Linked DNA regions of Mytilus edulis. The protein of the gene in region 1 binds, or shares a complex with, the protein of each later gene. Links are inferred from orthologs where the notes say so. Each region holds a gene or a part of one and is shown in the gene's direction. Other genes may lie near its edges.

Region 1 (7,210 bases):
AATTCTGAATTTACAGTAGTATACAGTAAGCATGGTTATAAAGAAATTTATTTTCTAAACCCATAAGATGGATGACCACTTGTCTTTTCCTGAAAAATATTACTGATTAATTGTTTGTGTTTAACGTAACATTCAGCACTCTCTACATATACATCTACATACATGTAATACTCTTTAACTTCAATATGTTGAAGATTACAAGAATGCACAAACTAGGGAAAAAATTTAAAATCTGATCATATAAACAATATTTTCAAAAACATTTTTCATGGCAACCCAACAGTTCTTGAAAATAAGTCACATGCCAGTCATGTGGGTTGACATTGATTAAGATTTCGTCAGTCTAATCTTTTACTTGGCATTTTGCATACATTGTACATGTATATGACATTATTTTCAACTTTTTTGTAGTTTCAATGTAAAATTGCCAATTTACAGAAAGACTTAAACCTATAAAGAATTTATTTAGAGCATCATTTTACTAGATTTCTTTTTAATCAGACATTATTGGGTCTTTGTCTGCCCACACTTTTGAGATGTAAATACAGAAGGTGGACTGGACCCAGGATGGGGTAATTGTAATCTGTAATCCTAATCGATTGTAATTGATTACATTTTTTTCAGTAATCGACAGTAATCTGTAATCGAAGACATTTCGATTACATATAATCTTAATTTAATCGATTACAGCAATTATTATGATGTAATCATTGATTACTTTAGTAAAATAGTTTAATGAAATATATCCTTTTTTAAATGAAAATAAGTATGTCTTCATCACTTTATAGTACAGATAAAATAGAAATTATTAAAAAAAACTTCAGAGTTTATCAAATGCCTAATTTGTATCTTTTGTCTATAGCTACATTTTGATCAACCAGATCTCCTACCAAATTTTACTGTATATAATCAGCTATGAAACAATTGACTATACTGTCTTCAATGCTTGCCAATAATTTAAAGACCTTTTATTTTGAAATAAGAAAATAGATAAAAATAAGAAATGAGTCTTGTGTTAACCCTTTCAACGCTATACACGGCATATGCCGCGATGACATACGCCGTCCGCCACTGCTATTCGCGGCATATGCCGCGATGACAACGGATTTTTCATAAGGACTCGAAACCATTCGGTTTTCATTCGGGTCCTCTCTTATTTTTCCTTGTATGAATTGAAGATATGCAAGGTCTCATTTGCGCTTGAAATCCCGGCAATTTTTATTGTAAAATCATGCAGTAGAAGGAAAATTGGAGGAAAATAAAAACAAATATTTTGACAAATGCAAATGGCGGAAATCGGAAACGAAGCTGTAAATATGGAAATATTTCAGCATTTCTATGGCGAAACTGATGACGAGGATTAGTTAAAAGTTTCTTGTTATCTCAATGTGTTTATTACATTCAATTCGTGTGGGAAATATGATTTGATCGATCATTACGAGACATAGAAAAAGGGGGGAAAACGGAGGTTGACTGAAAATTTTGAGGACGGAGCCACTGATTTGTGCCATGATTACATAATACGTTGTGTATGGTGCAATACGCTACGGAATCGAGCAATTGGTGTCTTCTTTATTATATGGCAGATAAAAAAACAAAATAGATGAAGACGAAAAGTAGTTTTTATTCAAAATTCAACACAAATGTAACAAATTACACCTTTTACCTGTTAATTACCTGAAAATGCAGGTAACCTGATAAAAATTTTACTTAAATAACTGCCTAACATTACAGTTCATACTCTCCTGAGCATTTTTCATGCAATAACTTTTTCTGTATCTCTTATAATAAAAAAGATACAGCAGTCTGAAAAGGAATATACTGTTCTAATGAATGAACACAAAAAAAATGCAGCAGCAGCAGCCATTTTTCTATTTTTTTGTGTAGCGTTGAAAGGGTTAAGTTCTGTACTGCATTGACATTGAAGCTTAGTTTTAAATAAGAGGTGGAATTTTAGCTAGAATAGATAAACAGTTGATTCGTCATAATATTATGATTTAAAAAATTAGAAAGTTCACAAAATCCTTTTGACAATGAACCGATAACTATGCATTGAAATTTTGTGCAGGATACCTGTATCCCATTTTGACACTAAAAAATATATATTGTTTATAATTTTGAATATAGCATAATAAAATTTCAACTAACTTATTGTCTTTACCAATCAGATGATCAAGGATTTCTAATCAATGAGATGCCAACTTTGTTTTGATTTCAGTTATGTCTAATTAAGAGGAGATTTACATTATATTGCCCCAGTTATAAAATGTATCCCATTGGCAGTTTTATAATCTGTATTTAGGAAGGCTATCCAAAAACCCGATTATTTCATGCATGTATTAATTATAAATATTATAAAATTACATCTTTAAAATTAGCTGAACTAGTTAATTATTCTCCTTTTTTATATATTTTTTTCAGAGGAAACTTCCAACATTGAAATGAACTATATTCAAATATACGTGTTAAAAATGAGTAAATACAAAATACCTAACTTACGTCAGTATGACAGCAAAAATTTGCAAAACATGGAGAAAAAAAAAAAAATTTAAAGAAGTGACCGAAACCAGGCCATGTCAGTGCAAGAAATTTATCACTACTCACTCATGTTGAAAACCAAAAATCAAGAATTTTTAAATATTTCTCATCCTCAGTAAGAGCTTCCATCAAGAAAACAACTGTTAACTTAAAATTTAAAAACAATGCTTTAAATGCTGTTTTCATAAAGTTCTAAATTTCCACTATACATACGTTGAACTACATAGTTATGTTTAACTTACTTATTTTATTGTTATTTTGTAGCATGTAATTGACAGTAATCGAAAAGTAATGTAATTGCAATTGATTATTAATCGAATACACAAAAATCCTTCAAGTAATCGATTACTTTTGTCAGTATCATGCCCATCCCTGGACTAGACATATATGCATATAGTCATTTGATTGTACATGTATTAACTTCTATAAATTGGTTAAAGATAGACAAGCCTTTTGCAGTTACAGAACATCATCACACAAGTTAATAATTGAAATTAGAAGATAGATAAATATGTCTAGAAATATATAATCTGTCATCATGGTCATGTCTGTTGTAAATGTAAAAAAATAAAAATTGGGAATTTTTTCTTTTTATATCAAAATGTGACTAATACCACAATGACGGAACGTAAGTGTTTTTTATCATTATCATATCTAATAAAGTTGGGAAAAAATATCCAGTTAACCGAGGCAGTGTTATCCCATGGCCCATATCATACAGACATGGGGTAATTGAAATATGTAATTGTAATATGACATTGCAGTTCGGCCGCACCGTTAAAATGGTTTGTTTGATCTCGAAGTGCCTTTATTGGCAACTGTTTGATAATACTAGAAAAATTCTCTTTTATGGCAGCACCTGTCTCATACTATCAATTACCTTGGTGAGTATTCTGATACCCCGAGTGCTCTTTTGATCGATGGTAAAAATGGTGCTGGAGATCTTGAATGACCATTTGTTGATGAAATGGACAAGTTGCCATCCGAGCGATCTTGAAAAGAGCATGAACTGTTAAACAATGACGTCCGGAGATATGGAGACGGAGATGAAAAAGTCTGACTTCTGTTAATTGATGTTTTTTGTCGATTTGGGCCTGGTGTCAGTTTGACTGTGGATGGCATTTCTGCTTCACAGTTTGCATTAAAAAACTGTTTGAATGATGAATCGTAACTGTTCTTCTTGTTGCTTAATTTTATTTTAGTTTTCTTTTCATGTGAGAATGGTTTCGTCTTTTTCAATTTAAATGCTGTTAATTTTTGAGTATTTGTACTTTTCCAGGAGCCGTTTACGACATTCGAGCCCCATATGACAGCAACTGCTAAAACTGTGAGTAAAACAATACTTTTAAAACTTAAATATAACAATATCACAGACGATAACAATAAAAGGATAAGATAAAAGGGCTTAAAATTATTCATTTTTGTCCATCTCGGGGTTAAAAGATTTTCTCATGCCGGCCACTTTCGGTTTGGAGATTAATGATTGCTTCCGGTCGTCGGAACTTTAAATAGATTTTCAAATTGATTGGTCTATTTAAATTTTACGTTTTCATCAAATCATTTATAGGTTCAAAATTTGGAAGAAATTTGATAAACCTAATCGAAATTATAATTCTATTTTCCTTTGGTCTTTATTTTTCTTTTTTCTAAAAGATGTAAATATAAAGCTTCAATTTGATTGGTCGATATCTCACGCTGCGAAAGGCGGAAAGTTGAAATTTTCAAAGTTTGTAAACATTGTGGAATGATCAGTATAGTATTGACGCTTAGAAAGTTAAAAGAAGTAAGAGTCTACATTACAAGTTATGCTATTATACTTATCATTGATTTATAGATGAGAACAGTTATAAAGGAAATGCAAGAAGGCGTGAACTCATAATTTTGTTGAAACATAAAAAGGGGGGTTTCCTTGAACATTGCAAGGTTGAGTTATTGAAAGTTTACTAAATGTTGAAACTTTCTAGATATCATATCTTTCGTAAGAGGCAGTACGATCCTTCAAACCCTTGTGTCATGTATTCATTCAGATCCCTTGTTGCTGTACCAGTTCCCGCAGTACTGACTGAAGAAACTCCCTGTTCTGTTCACAATACATCTTATCGCTATTTGAAATTATGAGTATTTGTCTGACATCATAAAACAAAATATCTGACGCTACAACGAAAAAGTGATTGTTGTATACATTTTTACGTCAATAGTTAAAGCGGCCGGGTCAGCTGGAATTACTTCTACTACCACTAAGTGACCACCGTCATTTGGTTGACTATCCTGTTTTAGCGATAAGGTGTATAATTTGACAACACCATACAAGGTTGGGCTAGCCTAAAGTCAGGAAAAGTGGGGGTTATACAATCAGAAGAAGATAAAGTTGTTCGGTATTCTGTCGTTCTGTCTACAAACTAATCCAGCTCCAAGTTGATCCTTCCCACGTCGATCCGGCCTCATAATATAATAATGAATACTAATCTATACTGCCTTTGGAGGATTTGGTGTCAAATTGAAATCAGTATAAATGGAATTTTAAAAATCTACAAGTATCCATAATTGACGACATTATTTTGAATCGATACAAAAATCAGTGTCATTGTGTCTGTAACTCAATAGACTGCTTAATTTTCATTGAGGCCCTTACACAAAATTAAATACATGTTATATTTCTGTCTCCTCTTTTATAGAAAGGATTCGGCAAATCAAACAACATTTATCAATTTTAGAAGTTTTTAGAACTCAAACAAAAATTAAGTGTGTATCAGCTTAGGGATCGGCTTGTGTTGTTGTTAATGTAACTTCCTTATTACACAGGATGACACTTGCTAGGATCACAGTCAATTGGAAACAATACAATTAATGTTGATTGTAATAAATTCTTTTATGTTTTTTATTGTAATTATACCCGTACAGCTTTAACATTATTATAAAATTCATAAACATTTATGAATTACAATAAATATCTTCCTTTTATTCCTTATAGATATAATTTTTTATTGGGGCTGGATCGACTTGGGGCCAGATCGACCTGAAAACAAGTTGTTTCTGTCTCTTACATTGTATATTCAGATTAGAAATTTAAAGTAAATGAATAAGTTAGTTTAGAGATCTGAAAATAAAAAGGGAATGTACTATTGAAAAAGAAATCAACTAATGAACTAGTCTAGAAACTGAAGCAAGTATTTTCTGCAGAATTAACAAAAAATGAAGTGGTTAATTAATTATCGGGAATGAAAATGACAACTTGATTGGCTGGCACTGTATGGACAAAAATATCATCTCTGACCAGCCTCATTACTATTCTGATAATGACTTAACCCCATACTCATGCTGTGATGTTTTAATGTTTGTAAGCCCATTTTTCTACTTGGTTAAAAAAGAACGGTCCAAAAACTACATTTGCGAAATGAGCACAATGAGAATTAAAATTGTAAATAAGTGCAATCACTAGACAAATCTGAAATGTTGTTATGAAGTCTATTTCTATTGATAAATGATTGAAGAAATGAATACTGTTTAATAATCTCTTATTCTTTATTTTCAGTTTTAAAGATGAGTTTTGAATTTGTAATTCCCTCTTCTCGTGATGACTTGTTAAACAGAACAGGTATAGATCACTTTGTTGTCAGTGAGATTGCCACACTGAGAGAGATACCAGGTGCTCTACAAGGTAAATTGAAAAATATTTTGTTGATGAAAATTGAAACATGTTGATGCAGCTGTTATCCATCTTTCCACATCTTTTATTTATTTATCTGTAGTTATTGTACATTTTGATAATAAGAAAAAGTTGAGAAAAGCAGAACAAATATAAGATTAAACAATATATGTAATAAAAAAGCCCAATTCATTCTTTTCTGTTAATTGTGTTTTCAATATTGCTTTCAATCAAATAAGCCACATCAATGATTTGAACTCTTGAGGATTGTTGCCTTATTGGACAATCATACCATGTTTCTTATTTTATACTGATATAAATAAAATACAGGTAGAAATCAGCAGTATTTTAATCTCTATTCAAAATTTTTACAATCTTTATTTATAAAAAGTAAAAACACAAAAATACTGAACTCCGAGGAAAATTCAAAAAGGAAAATCAAAAATCAAAAGGCAAAATCAAAAGTCCAAACACATCAAACGAATGGATAACAACTGTCATATTCCTGACTTAGTACAGGCATTTTCTAATGTAGAAAATGGTGGATTGAACCTGGTTTTATAGCTAGCTTAACCTCTCACTTGTATGACAGTCGCATCAAATTCCATTACATTGTCAACGATGCATGAACAAAACAAACATACTCAAAGAGTAAAAATGCCAAAAATAGGGGTACAACAGTCAATATTGTGTTATCATCTTAATTTTCTTATTTTTCCTTAAACTTCTACTATAACTTACAAGATCAAAGTGCTCTAAATAAAAAGATGTTTTTTGTCTTTACAGAATTGAAGACTGCTTTTCGAAGCCAGGGCAGCAAATGTCTTTTACATAAGTTTGATACTCTGTTCAGTGTTATATGGTTTGTATTCTATTCATTATAACATCGTTTTTAATAATGTTAAAAAATTAGGGAAAGTCATTGTTTTCATTAAAAGCTTTCAATTTCAGTTCAAAAATATTTTTATTACAATTCATTATTGCATTTTATTTGAAAGTGTATTATTATTCAAGGTCTAGATTTTT
Region 2 (7,518 bases), on another chromosome or scaffold:
ATTATAAATGTACCGAGTTTGTAATATGCCGAGTTTGTAATGTGCCGAGTTTACACTATGCCGAGTTGACGTGTCCCGAGTTTGTAATGTGCCGAGATGTCTTGCTTCGTTTTTGATAGTAGCACTTTCTGTCTCCGTGTGGACACACAAAAAAAAAAAAAATAATAAATAGCCAAATGATGAAAAGAAAATATGAAATGACAAATGTACCCACACAAGACAGATTATTCGGTCTAACCTCAGTGAGACCCACCTTAGACTACAAAGTTTTATATAAGTATTGTTTGATACATTAATGGTAGTCACTAAAGTCTATTATGTTTTTTGGTCTACACACTTATATATTTTTCTGTTAGAGTTATTAACACAAATGTCATTTAACAGTAGCTAACACTGTTTACGGAATACTTAGTCCAAATAATTATGACGTCTTGAAAGGCTATTATAATTTTTTTCTTTGACGCCTTACTTCGATTCGAAGTAAGGCGTCAAAGAAAAAAATTATAATAGCCTTTCAAGAAGTAAGGCGTCAAAGAAAAAAATTATAATAGCCTTTCAAGACGTCATAATTATTTGGACTACGGAATACTCTGCTTTTGCCAGATAAAAATTTATTTTTCTTTGAAATTGAAACAAGTCTGACTGTCAAAAATAAATGTAAATGAAAAAATGGAATTTCTATCAGGAGGATTAAAAAATTAATAAATCCTTAAAATTTGGTGTTAAATCAAATTTAACTGGTGTACAATCACTGATTTTCCAATCTTCAATTTTATCCTGCTTACTCTTGTTAGCTTGTTGTTTTTAAAGATGGCGCTGCTAAATATATCAACCAATGAAATGAACGGTTTCGAAACGCAGGTAAAAATAAATTATGTACTGCTAAACTCGAAGTCGGACCCATATCGCGGAATATAAATAAATAAATGGAAATTCATTCCACAGAAGTAGATCTGATTGCGTTTTAACATGTTATTAGAAAAAAAAGATCACACAAGCAAAATGGACAATTGTTTTGGTACCTTATTGTAGAAGGTCACGCTTTCATAAAATGTTTATGACGTCTTTACACTTTTAATCAAAGGAACGTATACGGATGAATATTTTTTTGTGTGCACACATATTCAAGATAAAAGGCATGAATTTTACAAACACAATAAATTAAAACTGAGACTACTATAACACATATAGTTATAGTAGTCTCAGATTAAAATGACAAAGATATAGCACTAAACGACATAGTTTATGATTTACATTATTAAAAATTATCATTTTAAAAATTAAATTGTGAATATTGATATTTTGAGTAATTCAAATAGACTAAATTAATAATGAGTGAAATTTAAATTGACTACATGATTATTTTTTAGTTGTTATTGGCATTAAAATAACTTTCGGTAGCTTCGAATATTATTAGATCGATAATCTTATCTTTAGGGACGACATCAAAAGATCAATGTAAGATAAAAAAAAAAAAAAAAAAAAAAAAAAAAAAAAACTTAATTCAAATAGTTTGGGGGTTGAACTGCTGCAAGATTTGGTTATCCGACTTTGATTTTTACATATATCCATATGGGTCAATCAATTTTTCCCAAATTAAGTTTATAGGGGGGTCAGTGAAAAAACTATTTGAATTAAGTTTTTTATCCTTCATTGAACTTTTGATGTCGTCCCTTATTGCGTTCACATTATAAGTTGTGGTGTGCTCTGTATCGGCGATCATTTATATGATTTCAGTCACGGATAATTTGTTCTTATGTTATATCAGGGACAGTCTTTCAAGTGACTAATTTATAGAAATTCTCTAATTAAATCAATGTGCTCTTATATGAATCACTGTTTTGGTGGAGATGACCCCCACGTCGGAATGATGGCTTAATCCCGCAGCATTCAGTATATGAATGTCCCAAGTCAGGAGTTTGTGCTTGAATGCAGTGCTGTTATGACCCTTTGTATCACATTTGCTGTCCGTTTATTGTCATGCCGTTTGTACACAAACCAGGCTGTTGTGTTACCCACACCTCTGTTGTGCTATTTTCAATTATGTACTGAAACGAATTTCCTGTACAGAACCCTTACGGTCCTCCACCAGACTCAAATAGTATACCAGTGATAATTTATATTGTTCAGTGTTATATTGTATAATGTTATACATGTCCTTAGGTGGGTTTTTTTGTTGACTTGAAATTTGTCTTCTGGACTAAGTGTTTGCTTCTTCAAATAAAAAAATATGTATATTTGAATATTTGAATAATTACATTGAACTATTGTTGTGTGCACTTTTTTAATTCTTTTAAAATGCGTGTACTGTATTCGTTGTTAAATAGTGGTTTGAATTATGCCTGCCATCTTGTTTAAATGCCACAGCGCCATTGTAGTGCTTTTTCAAAGTTTAGATGTGATGTAGCACCATTAAAAATTGAAACTGGTCGATATGAAAGAAAAAATCTAGACGAAAGTGTCTGTTTTAACTGTAATATTTTAGAGGATGAAAAACATGTACTTTTAAATTGTCCCTTGTATGAAGATCTAAGACATGCTCTTTTTATTGATAAATTGTGTCATAATGATATGTTTTTAAACTTGTCTGATGAAGAAAAATTTATATATATGTTTAAAAATACCAATATTTGTAATATTGTTGCCAAAACCTGCAATAACATTTTAACAAGGAGAAACAGTATTTTATATCATTAACTACTGTATTTGTAGTATTTTATAAAATGAATAAGTATTATTTGTATTTTAATAGTCTCTCATAATTCTTTTAAGAATGGCACATACATGTATTTAATTGTTTTAACTATGTTTACTGTATAATTAATTTTATAATTGTATCTTGTTTTAATCATGTCGTATGTGGTGAGACTTTAATAAACTTTTGAATTCTAATTGTTTCTTGTTTCTGAAATTTGGTTTGTTGATGAAGTTTATAAGCTTGGCACACTGTTCTTTTGCTGTTCATTTGAGAATGGCCCTTAAAACAGCTCTCGTATGTGTGCAAGCGTTGGGTCAAAATGTTTTGCCTTATCCTGAATAATTTCATTTTCATATTTGCATATATCAGTTTAATGTTAGTTTGCTCCCGTTCTGAACTTAGACACTTATCTAGCAGTCCTTATTCTGAATATACAGGAATCATTTATTACAGGACATAGTTTAAGCAAGACGATAACTTGATTCAGAGCTTGTCTTTTGTACAACCAAAAATTAAAAAAAAATAAGATTTTTATCTTAACTGACTTATACAGTTCAGACATACTGTATCTATAGTGTTTAGATTGTAATGCCATTAATATACCCCCACTCCTTTTTATAGTATATCATTTGACAACAATTTGAAACTATATTCAAAGAGTGTTTTATCTATGACATCATTGAATCAATGTTTTTTTTTAATTCTTTTTGTTACATGTTTTTGTGTGTTTTTTTTATGATCGAGTCGACTTTTTTAACGTAGTTTTAAGATTTGTTCCAATGTGACTGCGATTTTCACACTACTACACTAGGTTAGGAAGGAGTGAGTTTCACAAACATGTTACCCCCGCCGCATTATTTATGTTACTGTTCGAAGCCACTTACAAGCAATTATTTACATTTCAAAATTTCTCTAGCTTTCAACACCTTTGCATCCGCGACTCGGCGATGGAAACAAATTCAGGGAAAATGGTGACATCTTGTTATAAAAGAACTCATCTTTTTCCAAAATGAAATTCGATTTTAAACTTTGTTAACGATTGAAAACCCAGTTTATCACTTCTGGATCAGATTACGCGGCGGATACGAGAGCTAGTGACATTACCCTTTGTGGTGATCTGACATTGTTCACATATTTGTCCTCTTGTCTTTTTGGATTACAGTTGTCTCATTGGAATCCGTACCATGCATATCATCTTATTCTATTTTATATTCAATCTTCATATCTAATTTAGGTTTCACCTACATTTTGAAGAAAATTTAAGCAGCATTGATAATAATATGCCTTATTTAAAGAGAGTGAAACCAATTTCTCGCTGCATTGAAGACCTGTTGGTGACCTTCTGCTGTTGTCTGCTCTATGGTCGGGTTGTTGTCTCTTTGACACATTCCCCATTTCCATTCTCAATTTTATTATATTGTGTTCTAATCTTACTTGTGGCTCTCATAAAGTTAAGTGCAAATTGCTATAGTACACTACACAAATGCTTCATTCAAAGTAAGAATTAACGATAAATAAATTATATAGTCACTTTTTTCTTTTAAAATCAATATGTAATCTTGAATTCGTGAATACTGTACATAATGCGTATTTTGTAATATATACAATTGTGGATGTTATTTATACTAACCTTTACTCTTTGTCTCAGGAATAAGGAGGTGTGCTTTTTCTAGTAACATTTTAATGGATACTTATAAGATACATATGTTGTTATTTTGCTACTTTCTTTTGGTTTGTTTGCTGAATTTGAAACGTTTAGACGATGAAAACTATTATTACGTGTTTCCATCTTACAGAGGCATACACGGAAATGCAAATAATGTCTTAGTGTGTCCCTATTTCTCGCAATTTCTCGTCCACAAACGAGACCATACGGATGGCGGAAACTTCAAAACAATAGATAAGTTCTAAACAACACAAAAGGTGACTTTATAGTGTAAATGACAAAACACATATACAAAATTACAAAACATTCCCAGTGAGTCTATGAAATTATCAAACTGTGTACCCTTTAAGATTGTTTAAATCAAATGAGAACGGGTTCACTTCAGTCTTCATAATTTTTTATGAATATCAAAATAAACCGATTTATCATGTTTATAGTGATTTCTAATAACAAATATGTAGTTTATACATTAAAGATATTTTTAGGAACGAATAATAGCATGACAATTAAGAAATATAAAAGAACAGAAACCGCTAAACACAAATTATGATAGTCAATATTTAAAATGTTTCAAATCTTTTGAAGTTGTCTCCCTTTTGATAGTTCTTCAGTTTATTATTGTCTGCACATGTACTGATGCAAAACAGAATTTTGTTGATTATTCGCAAGTTATATGTTGAACAATGGTTACTTAATACTAAATATGAGGAATGACAACACATTATTATTTTCAAATTGTTGGGTTGTTCAGTAAGTACATGTAAAGCATACATAAACTGATACAGGAGTAAAAAAGTGTTTTTCAATTTTGTATTATATTTAATGTTTTAAATAATTGTGAAATACTGTAAGCTTTAGATATGCCAGTTGTTTTTGTATTATGCATACAGTCAACACTATACAATCTATAATTGATAATCTACATGTACAAAAAATGTATATACAAATGTATTCATATTGATTTCTTTAATTCATCCTGTTGTTTTCATGCATGTAACAAGAGAATTTGGGCCTGGCACTGCAAATACCTGTCACAATAACAGGAAAGAATGAAATTGCCATGATGCAATAGGAGAAAATCCTTTATACTCTCTTAACAAATGTAATACTCACAGCAAATCATTCTCAATGTATTAAATTAATGGACATCTGTGTTACAACTTCAAATCCACAACTGGGAGAGGAAAATTAAACATTTTGAAGAAAGTTTTTCAGTTGTACAGTACATGTATATGTACATATTACACATGCTAGAAAATAAACAGGGATGCATTTTAAAAATTGTAAATTTATATTTAATGTTATTTGCAGTGATCTGGAAGGATTATTTCTCTTTGGGCCCAGGGCCCCTCAAAATTAAATTCAAGGGGCCATTTTAAAAAATAATGGGCCATGTTGTCAAATGAATGGGCCATTTGAATTGACTACAGTGAAAAAAGTAAAAAGTGTATATCTCAGCAAAGAGATGGTGGTACTTACCTTAATGATTTTAAATAATATTATAGATATTGTGCCTGTGATTTTGTTATTTCAATTCAACAAAGAATGTAAAATAATTTCTTCCAAACCAGATAATATTTAAGATATCCTTTATTTACAATGTTTCTACTGCTACTGTTGTCTTGTTCATGTGCATGAGTTTTTTTACATTAAATTTGGGTCTTCGTCGATACCATACTTATTCCCGACGTTCCGTATTAGAGGACGTATTTGGCATTTCCTCTGCACTTCTTGTATTATTATTACTTCATCACGATGACAACAATAACAGTAGAGAGTATCATTAATTGATAAAACAAAACAACAATTCGCTGAAGGCATGTTTACAAAATGTCAAAACAAGCCAAAGACCAAAAAGTGACAAGGACAGTTAGTCGCCTTTTATGGAGACAAAAACTATATTCATAAAAAGGCTTTGGGGTTTTTCAACGAAAAAGTAGCAAGCTGAACTAAATTAAAAGATAATAATTAGAGACAAATCTCGTCTGTACTAGCCAAATTTTACAAATTTAAGGTTGTAAAAAATCATATCATGAATGATGGTTAATTACGTTTTTTGGGTAATCAGTTACACCCATGGTTCTATTATTTCCATAGGAAAACACCCGAGACGTCCCAAAAATATATAGGTGCTCCTATCATTGGAGGAACATTACACAGTTGTGTACACACACATGGCGGCACGGTACACGATCGGAAATCCATTTGACGATATCAAAACGTATCGAAACGAAGTGAAAAATATCGTGCGCCACGTGGGCGCTTATATAAGTCACTCTATGCGCCATTTCTGGTCGATATGCGCTATAGGCGCAGGGCGCACGACCTTCCCGATCACTGTATTTGAACTTTTCAAAATTTGTAAATAAATGCATTTGTCAATTAGTTCCTGAACTTGGTTGCATGAATTCTACACATCTGAGGTTTGGCCTGACTTTTCCATTGTCACTAATTACAATTTCATATTTTAACTGGGGAATTCCTGTGTGTAGACTAACAAATAAAAAATATCCCCATTCAGCAATTAGAAAGCTTATTCCTATGTACATGTGACAATAAACAATCAAATAAACTTAATAGTGTATTAATGTCTTCTTTATCTTTGAATGCACAATTTTACAATTGGTGATGGACACTAATGGTTAAATAAACAATATTTAGCTGAGTTCCCCAAGCTGCATACATGTACATTGGTCATCAATGACAGAATGTAACTCTTTTCACTGGAAAAAAACCTTGTATATTTATTTTCCACTAAAATAAATTACTACAAGCTGCTTCTATGATCAAAATCAATTTCTTATTAAAAAAGCATATCACTTCAGATCATAAAATTGTCAACATAGCATTAAAGAAAAACTAGAGAACCAAAGACTGGTTAGTGTGACTTCTTTAATTTACACTGATTAACAATTGAACAATTTTTGCTTTCTATAGATGCCCAGCAGGTCAGATGTCCTCTCTCCTTTGACAACGCCAGCCATACAGAAACGGTCTGGTATTAGTAATACAGTTGGTAGTTTTGTGTCTCCATCAACTAGCAGACATAAAGGAATGGATAGTCCTGTGACTATGTATATGGAAGAATATGATGCTGGTACTGAGAAGCGTGATCGACGTCGCTCCAGAGCATTAGAATTGAAACAAACTGTTG

What was found.
Region 2: condensin complex subunit 1-like (region 1) and condensin complex subunit 2-like share a complex: the UniProt entries of both Homo sapiens proteins name them as parts of the condensin complex. The link is inferred for Mytilus edulis from reciprocal best matches to the Homo sapiens genes NCAPD2 and NCAPH.

What each region holds. Positions count from the first base shown.
Region 1 is NC_092356.1:7,066,435-7,073,644, forward strand, and holds the start of condensin complex subunit 1-like, read left to right. Parts: upstream 1-4,210; 5' UTR 4,211-4,321; intron 4,322-6,070; 5' UTR 6,071-6,078; coding exon 6,079-6,196; intron 6,197-6,970; coding exon 6,971-7,046; intron 7,047-7,210. Other genes in the region: uncharacterized protein, read right to left, coding at 3,419-3,957. UniProt on the Homo sapiens protein: Regulatory subunit of the condensin complex, a complex required for conversion of interphase chromatin into mitotic-like condense chromosomes.
Region 2 is NC_092347.1:57,141,577-57,149,094, reverse strand, and holds the start of condensin complex subunit 2-like, read left to right. Parts: upstream 1-4,510; 5' UTR 4,511-4,621; intron 4,622-4,951; exon of another isoform or gene 4,952-5,114; intron 5,115-7,301; coding exon 7,302-7,518. UniProt on the Homo sapiens protein: Regulatory subunit of the condensin complex, a complex required for conversion of interphase chromatin into mitotic-like condense chromosomes.